3 linked regions of the Schizosaccharomyces pombe genome follow. Changing the gene in region 2 together with the main gene of any one other region gives a genetic interaction. Each region holds a gene or a part of one and is shown on either strand. Other genes may lie near its edges.

Region 1 (4,765 bases), on a different chromosome or scaffold from region 2:
TGCTATGAATAACATGCTTCCCGGCACTGCTTTTAAAAACCTATGGAACTTCAATTTATTAGATGCTTCCTTTGGATGGACTGTTTTTGTCGTCGAAAATGGGCATGTTCAAGTGGAAAGCAAATCTCATGGCTTTAATTTAGGCTATCGTCGCATGGCTTCACGTCGTAACGAAAATTATGCATCTCACATTCCACGCTCAACTTCGGAAAATACCGGTACCTATTATTACGCTAACAATAGGTTGGTGGAATCTCAAGCACAGTTTACCAAGAACAGAGAAGCTACGGCTACACCAACCGAAGAAGAACAGATTGAAGGGTACGATCAGGAACATACTGATGAGCTAGGAATGTCAAGAGCGAATACTACAGAAGAGTCGGCTGAGACTCATGAAGTAATCGAAGAGAAGTCGGGACCACCTGCTGCCGAGGAAGAACCCATTTCTGGCGTAGCAGAGAAGCCTAGTCCTAATGAAGAAGAACAACCAGCAATTGGAGGGAAAGAGGAAGTTGACGTTGAAGAGGTGACTAAGGGTACTGGAAATCTCGAGCTAGGTGAGACGACTACAGAGGTTACCATACTTGAACAAGAGAATGCTGCAAATGTTACAAGATCTCAAGCACAAGAAGGTAGAAGAACTGATATGCAGAAGGGCAACGATCGTGAATTCCGTCAATATAGTGGTGAGCAGCGTTATGAACGTTGTGGATTTCATATTACCCCTTGCAATTCTGAAGAGGAAGCCCGTTCTTACTTTAAGGACGGGACAGACAGCCTGATTACGAATATTCAAATTCGTACTTCACTCAATCGTTACAAAAGTCCCCAAGCTCCTCAAAACGTAAACCCCACTAACTATGCATATGTATTTGTTGAAAACCAGAATGCTGTTTCAAAGGCCCTTGGAAGCATCAAAGTTCCAGAAGGTGTGCGGGTGAATATCATGCGTGATGATTCGTACTATCGTCAAAATAGAGGATGGTATCGAAATAACCGGATGGAGGGACATGGAACTGGAATGCGTACCAATCGTGGACGTGGACGAGGCGGCCGAATGAACAGAATGCAGCATCCTCGTCCATTACAAAGCGGTGGAAGTGTCAATAAACAAAGCGCTGAACCTACTACCCATGGTTAATGATGAATATTTTTTGCACTGTTTTCAATGCTGTTTTAGAACTGATTTTTATACCATCTTTTCACCTTTTTACTGATGTTAATGCAAAAGTTTACCTCATGAATGATGAAGTTTTCATGAAATTTATCTGACGCACTCATTTACCTCAATAACTGCGAAGCCAAAATAACTGATATGACTCTTTTAAGATATCTTTTTCGAATTCGGTTGTCATTGACAAAAGGGTGCTTACTTTACTTTCTTTCATATCGACTTTGTTTAGAAATAATAAAGTGATTTTTGACAAGATTGATTCGCAGAAAACTATATAGTAAAAATAATTAATTACTTTATGCTAGAATAGCAGTTATTAGCCTTTTCTTCTTAGAAAAGATGTAAGTTTTAATAGATCAAATTCATTAATTAAATAACCAAGTTGAAATTTAAAACACTCACAAACAATAAGCTAGCTACTCAACTAAACAATTTTTTTTTGTTTTTGCAACACAAGGTCCCAACCCTTACCGTATGTTATTGCGGGATGGCCGTATTCCACAGTACAGTATTTACCCATTGCCAGTTCCGCCGATGAATTCTAAAACGCCCACTCTAGGAATAGTTTGTTCAGAGGGGACCATTTCCTTGTCTTTGGAAGAGGGTTTTGAGTTTGTTGGAGTTCCGTTAAGTGGTGAAGGTTTAAAGCTACGAGTTGAAGCTCTAGCTCCGTCAGAGCGTTTGCAGGAATTCCTCGACGATGAAGTAGCTTATCACCCTGAGGGTATGTTTCAAATTTGAAAGAAAATTTATATTAACCAATTTTACTATAGAAAATGTGCACAAGGTGGTCGGTTTATCCTCAGCTTGGCTGGAGTTAGATTCTGAAGACACACTAATCGCTGATCGATCAGAAGAAGTGTTATTAAAGGAAGCATCATATGCTTCTTATTGTGGGTTATCTTCAATCATCCTAAATGGTCCAACTTCACCAATGAACGTTATGCGTTATGCGAGAGCTGTATCTTCTGCTTTAAACTCAACAATGAATCTAAAATTCTTGGTACAATTGGCAATCGAAAGTGGTCATGAAGACTATTTTGAGACATGGAAAATGTGGGACACAATTCGCTCAGCATGTGGTTATCACCCTAGATTGAAGGTGGCCTTAGAGCTACCTCCCGCTTGTTCACCCCCAATCGAGCTAGTAAATCGATGGTACGCGGAACCGATAGAGATGATTACTATGTCATGTATGGCTTTCGTTCCTAATCCCAACGGCTATCCAGTACTTGGTCGTAAGTTGAGGGCTATTTATGCTTTATATCTACGTCTCAATCCTCGAATTTTACTTTGGGATAATGACGCACCCGAGAAAATAGGTGATTCCCCCGACTACAGCATATATATGAAGCACCTCTTTGATTCACAGCCTCCAGCTCCACTTGTAGAAGATCTCGCGGATTCTTATAAAGACTATCTGCAAGTTCCTCTTCAACCATTGAGCTACAATTTGGAAAACATTACTTATGAAATATTTGAGCGAGATCCCGTTAAGTACGCCCAGTATGAGCAAGCAATTTTTTCTGCGTTGATGGATAGAGACGAATCTTCTGTCACGCGAATTGCCGTTGTGGGTGCGGGAAGAGGTCCATTAGTCGACTGTGCTTTACGTGCGGCAATTTCTTCATCTAGAACGGTTGATATGATCGCCCTTGAGAAAAATCCTAACGCTTTTTCCATGCTATTGATGAGAAACCGCCAGGATTGGGCTGGCAAAGTTACTCTAGTATTTGGAGATATGAGAACATGGAATCCTGATTATAAAATTGACATCCTTGTTAGTGAACTTTTGGGTAGTATGGGAGACAATGAACTTAGTCCGGAGTGTCTAGATGGTGTACAACATGTGCTTGATGAAGAAACTGGGATATGCATTCCATCTTCTTACATCTCCTATGTTACTCCTATTATGTCTCCTAAGCTATGGTCTGAAGCTCGTAATATGAATGACCCAAATGCTTTTGAAAGACAGTACGTGGTTTTAATGAACTCATTTGACTTTTTGGCTGCAGATGATGAGTTCCGTTTTCAGTCCCTTTGGTCCTTCCATCACCCAAACAAAGATAGTGAGGTTTATACTAAAAACTTGCATAACAAACGTTTTGCTAGTGTTCGTTTTCAGGCCTCTAGTCCTGGAATCCTTCACGGTTTTGCAGGATATTTTGAAGCTACATTATATAAGGATATTTCTCTTTCAATTATGCCAGCAACTATGGAAGCGAAGTCTCCTGACATGTTTTCATGGTTCCCTATTTATATGCCCATTAAGGTAAGTTACTATATTTTACGTTGCACTGTATACTAATATTTCCTAGAAACCCATGTACGTCCCAGAAAACAGCCAATTGGAATTTCACATGTGGCGATTGACGGACGGTATGCGGGTTTGGTTTGAGTGGTGTGCCAATGCCTATCTGGTGTTGCGGAATGGAAGTCAAATCAAGTTGTCTTCTACGGAGGTCCACAACATTTCCGGAAAAGCGTTCTCGTGTAATATGTATTAAAAATTAATAGTCCTTCTTTTACATTATTGTTTATGGTTTAAAACGGGTCTTCAAACCATTTTTTTGGAGTTTTGATTATAAAAATTTTTTGGATTTAGTTAAATCTGAATTTAACAAAAGTCGATTAGTTTTAGGATAGCTGTTACAATCAAGATTTTGCTGAGAAAGAAGGAGTAATGCTCCTATACTTATTGTCTTAAACGATTTGCCAGAATTTTAACTATTGTTCTTAAACATTCCTTTTTACACAATTAATTAACAGGCAAATTCATTCAACTGAAATACCCTGTCATTTGCTTACTATACTAGTTAATTAATTTTCATTAATGTATTATATTAGTCCGAACTTGAAAATTAACAACGCATTGCGTTATGCCACTCAATTTTATATAACGAATGTTAAGATAGATGGTTTGTTGGAAAATTCTTTAACTGCTTGTAGTACGGAGTATGCACTGTGTTCTTCGCCATTTACAGAATTGTGGGAAGGGTTTATATAAGGGCGATTTTCGACTATGGAACCAGCTCAGAAGAAACTAAGGCAAGAGTCAAAGAACCCGTATTTGGCACACTTAAACAATGGTGATGATTCTGAGGAAGTTGTTTCTTCGAAAGGGTTGACGCGACGTGCTACGACTGTTGCACAAGCAGCTAAGGCTGAAGAAGGACCAAACAATTTTTTTAATGATAAACCTTTTAGTCAAAATTATTTTAAGATTTTGGAAACTCGAAGAGAGCTTCCTGTATACCAGCAAAGAGAAGAATTTCTCAAAATTTATCACGAGAATCAAATTATTGTTTTCGTTGGTGAAACTGGTTCTGGTAAAACAACACAAATTCCTCAGTTTGTTCTTTATGATGAATTGCCTCATTTAACAAATACACAAATTGCATGTACTCAACCACGTCGTGTTGCAGCTATGTCCGTTGCAAAACGTGTCGCTGACGAAATGGACGTTGACTTGGGCGAGGAAGTTGGTTACAACATTCGTTTTGAAGACTGTAGTGGACCTAACACTCTGTTAAAATATATGACAGATGGTATGCTTTTGCGTGAAGCCATGACAGACCATATGCTCTCTCG
Region 2 (4,833 bases):
TAGAGATGCAATACATAAACATCATTTCTATAATAGTACTTGTTTTAACGTCCTTGGCTTGGTTTTTATTTAATATCTTTATAAGCGAGCATTATCCGGACAAGAATTTATATCTTGCTAGATCACAGTTTCTCCATCATTTTGGCAAAAATCCTTCATGGTGGCTTACTATGCTTTTTGTAATGGTTTGTGCTTTAACAATTGATATTGTTGCCCAAATGTTACGAAGGACTTTACGTCCTACGGACACCGACATATTTGTGGAAATGGAAAACGATGCCTTTGTCCGCTCTCGGTTTGAGCAAGAGAGCGGTGAGTTTTTACAAGCCAATGCACCATCTGTCGATGAAATTGAACAATATTTAAAAAGCCGAGATTAGGCATTTAATTCATTAATCCAATTCTAGTATATGAAACTTTCTTTAGACGATAGTCAGTTTACTGGTAAAATGTTAAAATTCTGGGGTTCCCACTGTTCAATTAGAAATTGTCTATTAGTTATGGGTCATGATCCGCATTTCATAATTATTGTTTACTATTTTGGTTGGTTTTCTTGGCGTTAACATCCTGTTGTACTTATTAATACATGTTTTTTACTCACTCTTTTTTATCTTTTCCCTAATAAAATCTATGCATTAATTTGGAATTCTTATGCAACGAATTTAATATTTACAGAAGTGCATGTAAGATTTTATCAGTAGGGACAACATTAAAAAAAAGTAATTGGTAATATTATTAGTTATGCTAAAATAATGTAAAAGAAGGTAAACATGAATTAACGATAAAAAAAATTCGATAACAATAGTTAGATGCTCAAAGGACAATGAACAAAGTAGCTATGGAGTTTCTTGCAGAAGTCTTACAATGCTCCTTTCATCGTTAAATAATTGAATTTTTTGTAAGTGTACCCAAGGAATGCCAGATTGGTTTGTTCCAACGTCTGAGGGTCAACAGAAGCAGGTTGTTGTGTGACAGGTTGTTCAGGAACTTGTTCAAGCTCATCAACAGGGAAATAATGTGTATCGGTAATAGATTTCAAATTCGGAATAAATGGAGCTGCAGTTTCTCGTATATGATCCCAATCGATTCCAGTAAAGAAAGGATGTTGCATTATTTCAATAGCACCGCCACGACCTAATCTGTGTTCTGAATCTGTCATAAGTCGGTCCATCAAATCACGAGCTTCTATGCTTAAATGTATATCATTTGGGAAAGTCAGAGTCTCACGCCAATTGATGATTTTTCGATAAGTTTCATGAGAGTTTTCACTGCAAAAGGGAGGCCATCCAATTAAGCACTCGAACATGATAGCGCCTAAACTCCACCAATCACAATCTTGACCATACCCTTGTTGCAAGAAAATTTCTGGAGCGATATAATCAGGAGTACCCACAGTGCTATAGGCCATCACCCTACGGTTCTTTTTCCAAGTAGCCATTTTGTCCTTGGAAGACATTGTAAGCCAGATAGCATCTACCATTTGACCACGTTTGACAGTATTTCCTGTGCGAGGTTTCATGTAAGAGGCACTCTGATCTTGCTTGTAAAAACCAGTGGAAAGTCCGAAATCAGAAAGTTTTATATGGCCATCCCGGTCAATCAGTATGTTATCCGGTTTTATATCCCGATGAATATAACCCATTCGATGAACATCAGCTATAGCCAAAACGCACTCAGCCATGTAGAAGCGAGTAACGTCTTCTGAAAAAGTATCATAATTTATTAGCATGGTCATCAAATCACCGCCTGGTAAAAACTCCATAATCAAGTAAAGATACAGTGAATCTTGAAAAGCATAATACAATGACACCACCCATGGGGAGTCAGATTCAACTAATAAGTCGCGTTCTGCTTTGACATGAGCCAGCTGGTCACGTTTGAACATTTCAGTTTTAAGCAAAGATTTCATGGCATAGATTTTACCCGTATCGAGTTTCTGAACCAACCGAACCTATTTAATTAGATACCAAAAACATAAACAATTATGCAAACGTACCTCGCCAAATGCACCTTTCCCAATAACTTTGATGGTAGAAAAATCTTCTAAAGAAAGCCGTGTACGACGAAATCGAAGAAATTGAGACTCTTTTTCACCAGATGCTCTTAACTGCCTATTCTTTCTCTCCTCAGAACCCCTTTCGGTTGCTAATCGTTGCTCCAAATTGATACGTCTAAAGAGAATTAGTATTTATACCTAAAAGTAAATTAAACGGAAGCTAGCATTATTAATTAACATTTTCGAAACAAGATGAGTAAGCTGTCTAAGATTTTATAAACATTCGAGATTATGCATTTACTGCAACACGCGAAGTTGAGAACGGAGAAAGAATTAATAAAAGCATCGTCTTTGATACTTATCCGATCAACGTATAAGATGGGAATACTAATTGAGGAATGTGAAACAATGCTAGAACCCTGAATAGTAATGCTACTCGTACCTTTGGTTGCGCTCTACAGCATGATCAACTGCCACCTTGTAATAATGTTCAATATATTTCTTTGTCTTTTGGACTTTGTCTAAAGTTGATTTCGGAAATAATGAAGGGTTCCGTTCAAAGTGTAAGTAATCATTCTTATCCATATTGAAAGAAATGTTGCAATAAATGGAATTTTTACACTAATTAGAATCAACTACAAGGTCAACGAATTAATTAACAAAAAGAAATTGTTAAAAGATTGAAATTCAATCGCTTAAAACATGAATTAACAAGACATGCAAAACAGAAATGAGACAGTGATAAATCGGATATGGTAAATGACAAGTCCTATTATGCTTTTTTAATTATAGGACTACTGCCAGCTAAGGTATAATCCGATAAAAATATGTTAAACTGCGATACTGGAAAAGCAAGTACTTCTGCAGTTTGTTATATAACTTCAACGATCGCTTGCGATAAGCTCCGCGCATTTCCTAACCCTCCCTGTTCAATATTACGACGCTACTAACTGAAGCCAAGAATCTTAGCTTACGAAGATTTTAGAATCTGAATTGAAATGAATAGTCAAAAAAGACGGACGGAGACATCAATTCGTTCTTCACCATAAAAATATTTGTGTAATAAAAACTAAAGGTGGTGGATCGAACTCTACAGGAATAGTTATCTATTTAATTTGGTGTTTACTCTTCATTTAATAACTTCACATTATTGAAACTCCCATTTAAATATTATAGACAAACAAGTAAACAAAAAAAGCCTAACCGATTTGTATCCAAAATGCAGCTAGCCAAAACGTTGACAATTTCACATAATTTTCAAATCTTTTTTGTGTTTATTTTTTCGAAACCTGAGAAATATTGTCTATATTAATAGGGGTATGTTTAAATGCGCGTTTGCCAGGTCCAACTCCATAACTACTTGCAACTTGACCATTTCCTCTAAGTTGGTACTTGTAAATAGTTAACCCATCAAGACCCATTGGTCCTCGAGCATGAATTTTGTTGGTGCTGATGCCAACTTCGGTACCGTAACCATAACGAAAACCATCGGCAAATCTGGTTGAAGCATTCCAATACACACCAGAAGCATCAATTCCAGCCATGAATCTGTTAGCAGCTGCTTCACTAGAAGTGATAATGCAATCCGTGTGTTTAGAACCATGTGTATTTATATGCTGCATTGCGGACTGTAAGGAAGGTACAGTCTTAATAGCAAGAATCAAATCAGAGAATTCAGTGTTGTAATCTTGATCGACAGATGGTTCAACTAGAGCACTAACTTTTGGCATATCCTTTAAAACCTTAAGAGAAGCGGGATCACATTTTAATGTAACTTTTGCTTCAGTTAAAGTTTCAGCAATTTTAGGAAGATGAGAAGATAAAACAGCTTCGTTAATTAACAAAGTTTCAATTGCATTACATGCTGCTGGATAATCAGTTTTTCCATCCAGAACAAGTTTACTAGCCAATTCCATATCAGCATCCTCATGGACGTACATGGAGCATAGTCCTGCAGCATGACCTAAAACAGGAATTTTTGTGTTATCTTTTATATGGCGTACAAGATTAGTGCTGCCGCGGGGAATAACCAAATCTATGTACTCATCCAATTTTAATAATTGTGATACCTCCTCGCGACTCTGAACAAGCTGCACAGCAGCCTGTGGAACCTTACTTTTGCCCAAGGCAGAGCGAACAACATTAGAAAGTGCAGCGAAAGACTTTGCTGATTCCGTGCCTCCTTTAAGTACAACAGCATTACCAGATTTGATAGCCAGGGAAGTAATATTAATGATTACTTCAGGTCTAGCTTCAAAAATGACTAGCAATAAACCTACAGGGCAAGAGACTTTATAAAGGTCCAAACCATCGTCAAGACTACGAGCATAAGTAACACGACCAAGGGGATCAGGCAAACTTTTAACATCTAAAACACCCTGTACCATGGAATCGTATTTATCAGATGAAGACAGATCCAATCTTTTAACCATCGATGAACTTAGTTTTCCTGATTCAGCCAAGAGCTTAGCTGCTTTCATATCTTCAGCATTTGCAGCTAGAACCTCTGACTTTTTTATGCGCAGTTCTTCAACTATTTTATCCAATGCATCATCACGGTCTTCCACTGATAATGTCTGTAAAATGTTAAAAGCGTTTTTCGCTTCCTTTACATTCTCTTCAAGAGACATGCTAAACAATACTTATACAACTTTGAGTAGAGGCAATTGGGAGATTTAAATCAAGCGAATTCTTATTCTTAGAATGGCTAGCTCAAAAAGACTACTTTTTGTAGTATTTTGGTTGTTTTTTCTAATGTATGAATAATGCAAGTTCGTGATTTATTTAACACCCTTCAAGTAACAAAATCAAGCATTGTTACTTTACATTAAGCATAA
Region 3 (6,932 bases), on a different chromosome or scaffold from region 2:
CTCATCATTACGTCTTTCAGGTTGAGTCGTAGATGCGTAAACGGTCGTTCATCGATTTAGGCATTCGTGAGCATATGATTTTGGAAATTTCGTTTCTTTCAAAGACGTTATGATTACAACTATGCAATTTTGAGGTTGCTAACACGTAACTCTTTATCTAAACAGAATAAATGATGAGGTTGTTCTGAAAACACTCTTTTTTTAGTAAGAAAATAAAGAAGAAGTACATAAAAAATCAATCAATTTGAAGTCGTAACTAGGCTTCTTAGCTTCAGCGGCTTGTCACTAATGACTAATTATCCTTTTTTTCGCCAGGGGACAATTTTCGTGGACAATTCAGCAATTCAAAGGAATTCAGAGAATAAGAATAGTCTTTCGATTGAAAATATTTTTGGGAGATTTCCTAAAGAGTTCTTCCAATTTTTTTCAATAAATGTTTCTAAATCAACAACCAAGAAGTCTTCCGTCGTTATAAAGCCAAGTACAATTACTGCACCATGGTTAGAAAATGAATACTTAGACAGTAATACTAGCTTACTTTCCGTTCATTCAATTCAACCTTCGTTTATTGGAATGTCTGACTTCGCAATTGGATTAGATCCTTCACTGAAGCGTATATTACCCGAAATAAGATTTCGCTTAGACTTTCAGCATCTAAAATCAATAGCTAAAGGGGCCACCTCTACAATCAAGGTTGTAACTCACAGAGATAAAATCACCGACGCAAAGATATACTATGCTGCCAAAGTATATCGGAAAACGAAAACATCGCATAAAAAAAGATTGAATACAATGGTTTATTTTTTAAGGGAATGGTCAATCCAACCAAAATTGGACCATCCTAATATTCTGAAAGTTATCTGCCCTTGTGTGACTTTGACAAGCGTATTTAATAAATCCGCTGGGTTTTGTTTGGTTCAAGAGTACTGTCCTCAAGGCGATTTATTTAAGCAAATTGAAGAAAAAGTTTTGACCTTAGAAGACAAATGTTGTTATCTAAAGCAAATTCTTCAAGCAGTAGCTTACTTGCAATCTCAACGTATTGCGCACCGAGATTTAAAGCCGGAAAACATCTTAATCGGAAGGGATGGATTGTTAAAGCTCACCGATTTTGGTACCAGCGAAATTGTGGGTAATCCTGGTGATAACGAATCCATTCGTTTCGTATCGGGTGCTGTTGGAAGTTTGGCATATCTAGCACCAGAAGCATTTCATGAAAATGGTAAGTCTTATGTGTATAAATTGTGTAGCAAGACGAGCTCTATCCTATTTCAAAAACGACGTACTAATAGTTCAATTGATAGAATATTGTGGTCTTTTAGCAGATAGGTGGTCATGTGGTATTTTGCTTAAAGTTCTGTTTACTGGATACTTTCCATTTAAAACTTCCGTGAAAACTGATCTTTACTACTCAAAGTATATGTCAATCCTTACAGATACTTGTGGTATTTCTTCAACTGATGAATCCAGTTTCCAAACCGAAGTCATTAAACAAATACCTACATTGCAGCCCCTCAGATATATACCTGAAGGTGCTAAGAAGATTATACTAAGTTTACTGAATCCTGATTCCCAGAATCGGCCGTCGTTGGATAGTATTTTAGGTACTGCATGGGTACGGAAACTGGATTGTTGCAGTAACTTCTCTACCGATCATGAAAATAAGAGTTTACAGGAAGTTGATTTTGATGCTTCTAAACCCATTACAAGGAAAAGTTTGATTCCTCGGATTCATAACCATCAGACACTTGTTTAACGTAGTTTAAATCACTGTCTTTTCTACTTTACTTTCCAAGCTAAAATGAACTCATTCTTCCTATGTACATGGTGTTTCCACTGACATTACTTAACCAACGGATTAGTTCCATCCTTGCCAATATTTTTTATATGTCTGTATAATACGCTTTTTCTTTTATACGAGAATCTTTGTTTATTAATGATTTTATAAATAGCTTAATTATTACTATTTACTTCTTTTGAGTTTATAACATGCAAGTTCAGGTACCGTACTAAATGTGTATGTACACTATAAAGTCCTTACTTCTTCAAACGCAGCAAATGCTACATCGTAAACAAAACCAAATTGTCTTTTCATTCAAAATTACAAATAAATTCAATTTTTAATTTGTAACTTATTCAATAGTCATGCACAATATCCAAGCATCTTCCATCGTATGCTAGTATTTAATGTTAATAGCCATTGGATTTTCAATAACATATTCAGACTCTTGGGGATTGCTTGGGCAAGGGTGCCTTCGGTGCAGTATACCGTGGTCTAAATATAAAGAATGGAGAAACGGTGGCTGTAAAAAAAGTTAAACTATCCAAAATGCTAAAATCTGATCTTTCCGTCATTAAGGTATGAAGGGATCTCAACTATTTTTCTCTAACAATTTTTAGATGGAGATTGATTTGCTTAAAAATTTGGACGTATGTTACTCATTCGTTTATAATGGTCGCCAAATACTAAACGTGGTAGCATCCAAATATTGTTAAATATAGGGGATCTTATCAGACGAACGATTCTCTATGCATTATTCTGGAGTACGTGATTTTCTTTAAAAAATTGTTTTCAAGTTAACGATATATAGATATTGCGAAAACGGATCGTTGCGCTCAATTTGTAAAAACTTTGGAAAGATTCCAGAAAACCTAGTGGCCTTATATACGTTTCAAGTATTACAAGGGCTACTTTATCTACATAATCAGGGTGTTATCCATCGTGATATTAAGGGTGCCAATATACTTACTACTAAAGATGGCACTATCAAGTTAGCAGATTTCGGGGTTGCGACGAAAATTAATGCTTTAGAGGATCATAGTGTTGTTGGAAGCCCCTATTGGAGTAAGCCTTTTCTAAGCGTATAGTTATAACATTACTAACAATTTATATAGTGGCTCCCGAGGTTATAGAGCTTGTAGGCGCCACAACAGCCTCAGATATTTGGAGTGTTGGCTGCACAGTTATTGAACTGTTAGATGGAAATCCTCCCTATTATGATTTAGATCCTACGTCCGCTCTTTTTCGGATGGTGAAAGATGAACATCCTCCCTTGCCTTCAAATATTTCTTCGGCTGCTAAAAGTTTTTTAATGCAATGTTTCCAAAAGGACCCAAATTTACGAATTAAGACCAGAAAACTTCTTAAACATCCTTGGGTGATAATGAACCAAACCTCCTCTAAATTTTCTGACGCTATAGACGAGGTTCAAAAATATAATGAAAGAGTGAAAGAAAGCACTTTGACAGCTATTATCGAGCCTACTTCCAACAGAATCAATCCGACTCTTCATTCTGGCAGGCAGTCTTCTTATCACATGCCTGAGTCTCCAAAAACACCAATTGCCGAGTCCCCAGGTAGCTTTATGATACTTTTTAACTACTCTAACATTTTTAGATCATGATAACTGGGACAATGAATTTCAAGGAACCCTTAAAATCAGTGACGATGTTTTAAAGAAATCTGAGCATTTTATGGATTTTTGCAGTAACTTTAAAGGAAAAAATAATTCCAGCTCCATAACATCATCCCCTTCGAAGTCTCGCCATGCTTTTAATTCAGATCAAATCTCTGAATCAAACAACTTTAATGCATCACCGTTGAGTACTCCTCTCAAAGCCCAATTTGATCCCTCTAAGGTAAATAATGCAGCTCGATTTTCTAGAGCTTTTAATGATTTTAAATAAATAATTAACCTTTTTTTTAGCCCGCTCTCAACCGGTCAATAGATCATCAAAAAACTCCGCAACATAAAAGATACTTGTCAACTGGTAAGTATCTGATACTAACATATAACTAATTATCTAGAGTTTAAAGAGAATATACCAGACGGAATTGAAAAATTTGTCGAGACACCCAGAGATAGTGAATTTACTGATATTTTCCCTACATCCTCAATCAAAGTTCAAGGATTGAGAAAGGAGACTGGACTGGGGACTTTGGTTTTAAACAAATGTTATGGCTCGTGGAATAATGAAGAAAATGAGGATGGGGAAGAATCGGATATCTTTGACTCTATTGAAACAAACTTAGAAAACTTGGATATTGAAAACAACATTGCTTTAGATAAGAGAACGCATCTAGCTTCCTTACTTTCCAGTCTGTTAGGCTCACTACGTGACAAGAATATCGGATCGAAGGATACAACTGTTTCGCAAATAGTAAGTGCATATTTTTATATTGATAATTTAACTGACAATAGGCTTCTATACTTAGTGAAGATCTTTCTCTAAAACGAGAGATAATACAAGCGCATGGTATCCTTCCACTTTTAGAGACATTGCGCGAAATAAAAACGCCTGATGTTCAATTGCTGTTATTAAAGCTCATTAACACTGTAAGGATATTTAATGCGTGATTTTACTAACGTTAGGTTGCATTCGATGATCACACAACTTTACAAAAAGTTTGCTTTGCTGGAGGTTTACCGCTTATGTTGTCATTCTCTAATCGTGAACACTCTTTTGAGTTTAGATATGAAAGTGCTATCTTTATTCAACAGATGTATAGAACTTCTGCTTTGACATTACAAATGTTTTTGAGCTCAAATGGTCTGAATTCGCTTTTATTATTTATTAAAGAGGACTATGGAACGAACCGTGACTTTGTTTTTGTTGGCGTAGAAGGAATATGGAAATTACTGAGACAACAGGATTACATTCCAAAAAATGATATCTGTACGATGGTTGTAAATGATTCACTAGAGCCCTTGACCAAAGCCATGCTGAAAGCTTTGGCTACTGACGATGATTCTTCAAGAATGTCATTAACACGTATATGTGAAATTTTATTGGCTTTATCTCAGGCTGATAATTATGTTAAGGAATCACTTCTTTGCGAAAGTGCTCTTCGAAGGATATTGCGTATTCTGCTTTATCTGCCGCATTCTGATATGGCGATTACCTTACAGTTTTTCAAGCAACTTTCAATGGTTCCTTCATCTTTGTCGCTTCTTAGGAAAGTTCATATAATACCTCTTTTGACACATATTCTCGGTGACAGCAAAATTGAGAAAGGACGAAAAGAAATTAGAAGCGAAGCTTTGGCCGCTTTATTCAATGTGTGTAAGCTAGATAAGAAATCGCAAGAAGAGGCTGTTATTTCTGGTGCTATTCCATTATTGCAAGAGGTGATTATTAAAGACAGACTGTTTAAGGAGTTTGCGCTGCCGATATTATTAGCTTTGCCACAGGCTGGTCCAGTGTCGAGAATTTATCTTTGGCAAAATAAATGCTTAGATTTTTTTCTCTCGTTATTATCAGATCTTAATTGGCAATCTGCGGTATTTGATACGATCGCATCTTGGTTGCAGTTTGAACTCCGTGAAGTACAACGTGTTTTGGCAGAGAAGAGAAACGTACAATTAGTGTTAAAGGTGTTCTGTATTTCTCAATCAGCTTCCTCAAACAGAATGCTAGATACTTTGGGCAGGGTTTGTCAAATTTCCCCAAGATTGGCAGCCTCTTATGGCCAGCCTATAATATTCCAGAAATTTAAAGAAAAGTTAACTCATAAGGGGACCAAGCCGATTGTGGTCCTAAACATATTTCAAATTATGAAATCAATGTGTGAAGCTAGTAGCCAAAGTGTTGCTTATATTGCGCATTGTGGTTTACCAGATGTGGTTGCAAATTTGAACCAAACAAGTGATTCTGTGCTTGTTAAAGAACTAGCAAAAGACCTGCTGAAATACCTGAAGGTACCACAGGGTCCCATCAATGAGCACAAATCCCCCATTTCGAAACCGCATATGCCTCCACCTAGATGGCAACCAAAGCAGCCATTAACGCAGTGAACACTATTAAACGCATTTCCCAGTGCACGACTATATTACTTGTTTATGATATTTCTGTATTTATGGCTTAATGATTAATAAATAAGGTTGGGATTATGGAATCAATATTTTTTAAACGAAAGTTTTGCTAATTTTAATATTAATATATTATCATTCCATGTGTAAGTACGTTACCAGTTGTGTTTATACCTGAAATACAATCTAATTGAGTACCGCAATGAAGACTATTTATTTACCGAATCTATATTGATGAATCTTAGAAACGTTAAGAGAAAGGTTTATAATATGCTTATCACAGTGTATATTTATATTTATTCATTCAAGTGCTTCGAATTTTAAAATCTAGGTGTGCATAAAAGTTAACTTCACTATATCAGTTAACGCTACGATAGTGCAATACAGGAAGAAATATGCACTAAAACAAAAGGACAACAATGATTTTTATGCTTCTCATTTTTGGCTATTAATTTGCTGCTTTGTTTATTGCATAAATCTTTTTTGACTGTTTGCATTTCAGTAATTATTAATTTTTATGTGGAAGGAAAAATCACTTTTTTGATATTTCTTATTAACGTCGAGTTGCTAAACAGTTTATATCTATGTCAGAAGTAAAAAGGAATATATCTTTGAGAAATTCAACAAACATTTTTACTTCTACATTTAGTTTATCTTCAAATAATGTCCCAAAACCGCTGATTGGGGAGTCAGTTATAAAATATGGAGACGAGGCTTTTGTATATGGAGGACGCGATGCATTAAATGCGCAGCTTGTTAATGATATGTATGTAGTTGATCTTAACACTTGTTCCTGGAAGCAAGTTGAATATCAAGGAAATCAAAAGCCGATACCACGGTATTTCCATTCAGGGGATTTATGGAATAACAAATTAATATTCTTTGGTGGTATGGGATTTAATGATGATACAAAATGTCTTTATGTTCTTAACGACATCGACATATATGATATTGAGACTAAGCAATGGTCTCATATACCTGGCATGATAACAGAGAATCAGACAAATGACGATGCTAAAGAAGTCAATGGATCTGATGTTGATGAAAAAAGCAAACACTTATATCCATCAGCACGTTACGGACATTTGCATTGCGTGTTAGATCATTATCTTATTATATTTT

The links. A genetic interaction does not mean that the proteins touch.
Region 1: of orb6 (region 2) and skb1, changing one enhances a phenotype caused by changing the other (phenotypic enhancement), as found in Schizosaccharomyces pombe (one study listed by BioGRID).
Region 3: of orb6 (region 2) and cdc7, a mutation in one rescues a mutant of the other (synthetic rescue), as found in Schizosaccharomyces pombe (one study listed by BioGRID).

The regions. Positions count from the first base shown.
Region 1 is NC_003423.3:2,275,567-2,280,331, forward strand, and holds skb1 (protein arginine N-methyltransferase Skb1), read left to right. Parts: upstream 1-1,688; 5' UTR 1,689-1,708; coding exon 1,709-1,898; exon of another isoform or gene 1,899-1,947; coding exon 1,948-3,446; exon of another isoform or gene 3,447-3,492; coding exon 3,493-3,681; 3' UTR 3,682-4,058; downstream 4,059-4,765. Other genes in the region: SPOM_SPBC16H5.12C (uncharacterized protein), read left to right, coding at 1-1,141; ATP-dependent RNA helicase Prp43, read left to right, coding at 4,197-4,765. UniProt on the Schizosaccharomyces pombe protein: S-adenosyl-L-methionine-dependent protein-arginine N-methyltransferase that can catalyze both the mono- and symmetric (type II) dimethylation of the guanidino nitrogens of arginine residues in target proteins.
Region 2 is NC_003424.3:1,006,187-1,011,019, reverse strand, and holds orb6 (serine/threonine protein kinase Orb6), read right to left. Parts: upstream 2,758-4,833; 5' UTR 2,582-2,757; coding exon 2,439-2,581; intron 2,172-2,438; coding exon 1,997-2,171; intron 1,952-1,996; coding exon 860-1,951; 3' UTR 702-859; downstream 1-701. Other genes in the region: dnf1 (P-type ATPase), read left to right, coding at 1-380; gamma-glutamyl phosphate reductase Pro1, read right to left, coding at 3,271-4,626. UniProt on the Schizosaccharomyces pombe protein: Interacts with pak1/shk1 and coordinates cell morphogenesis with the cell cycle. It is essential for maintenance of cell polarity and is involved in mitotic control.
Region 3 is NC_003423.3:3,221,644-3,228,575, reverse strand, and holds cdc7 (serine/threonine protein kinase SIN pathway Cdc7), read left to right. Parts: upstream 1-2,070; 5' UTR 2,071-2,145; coding exon 2,146-2,172; exon of another isoform or gene 2,173-2,224; coding exon 2,225-2,359; exon of another isoform or gene 2,360-2,400; coding exon 2,401-2,430; exon of another isoform or gene 2,431-2,479; coding exon 2,480-2,544; exon of another isoform or gene 2,545-2,591; coding exon 2,592-2,845; intron 2,846-2,895; coding exon 2,896-3,357; intron 3,358-3,397; coding exon 3,398-3,639; intron 3,640-3,707; coding exon 3,708-3,771; intron 3,772-3,808; coding exon 3,809-4,161; intron 4,162-4,202; coding exon 4,203-4,337; intron 4,338-4,373; coding exon 4,374-5,795; 3' UTR 5,796-6,225; downstream 6,226-6,932. Other genes in the region: serine/threonine protein kinase Ppk24, read left to right, coding at 289-1,222, 1,305-1,756; Ras1-Scd pathway protein Ral2, read left to right, coding at 6,395-6,932. UniProt on the Schizosaccharomyces pombe protein: Protein kinase essential for cell division. Plays a key role in initiation of septum formation and cytokinesis.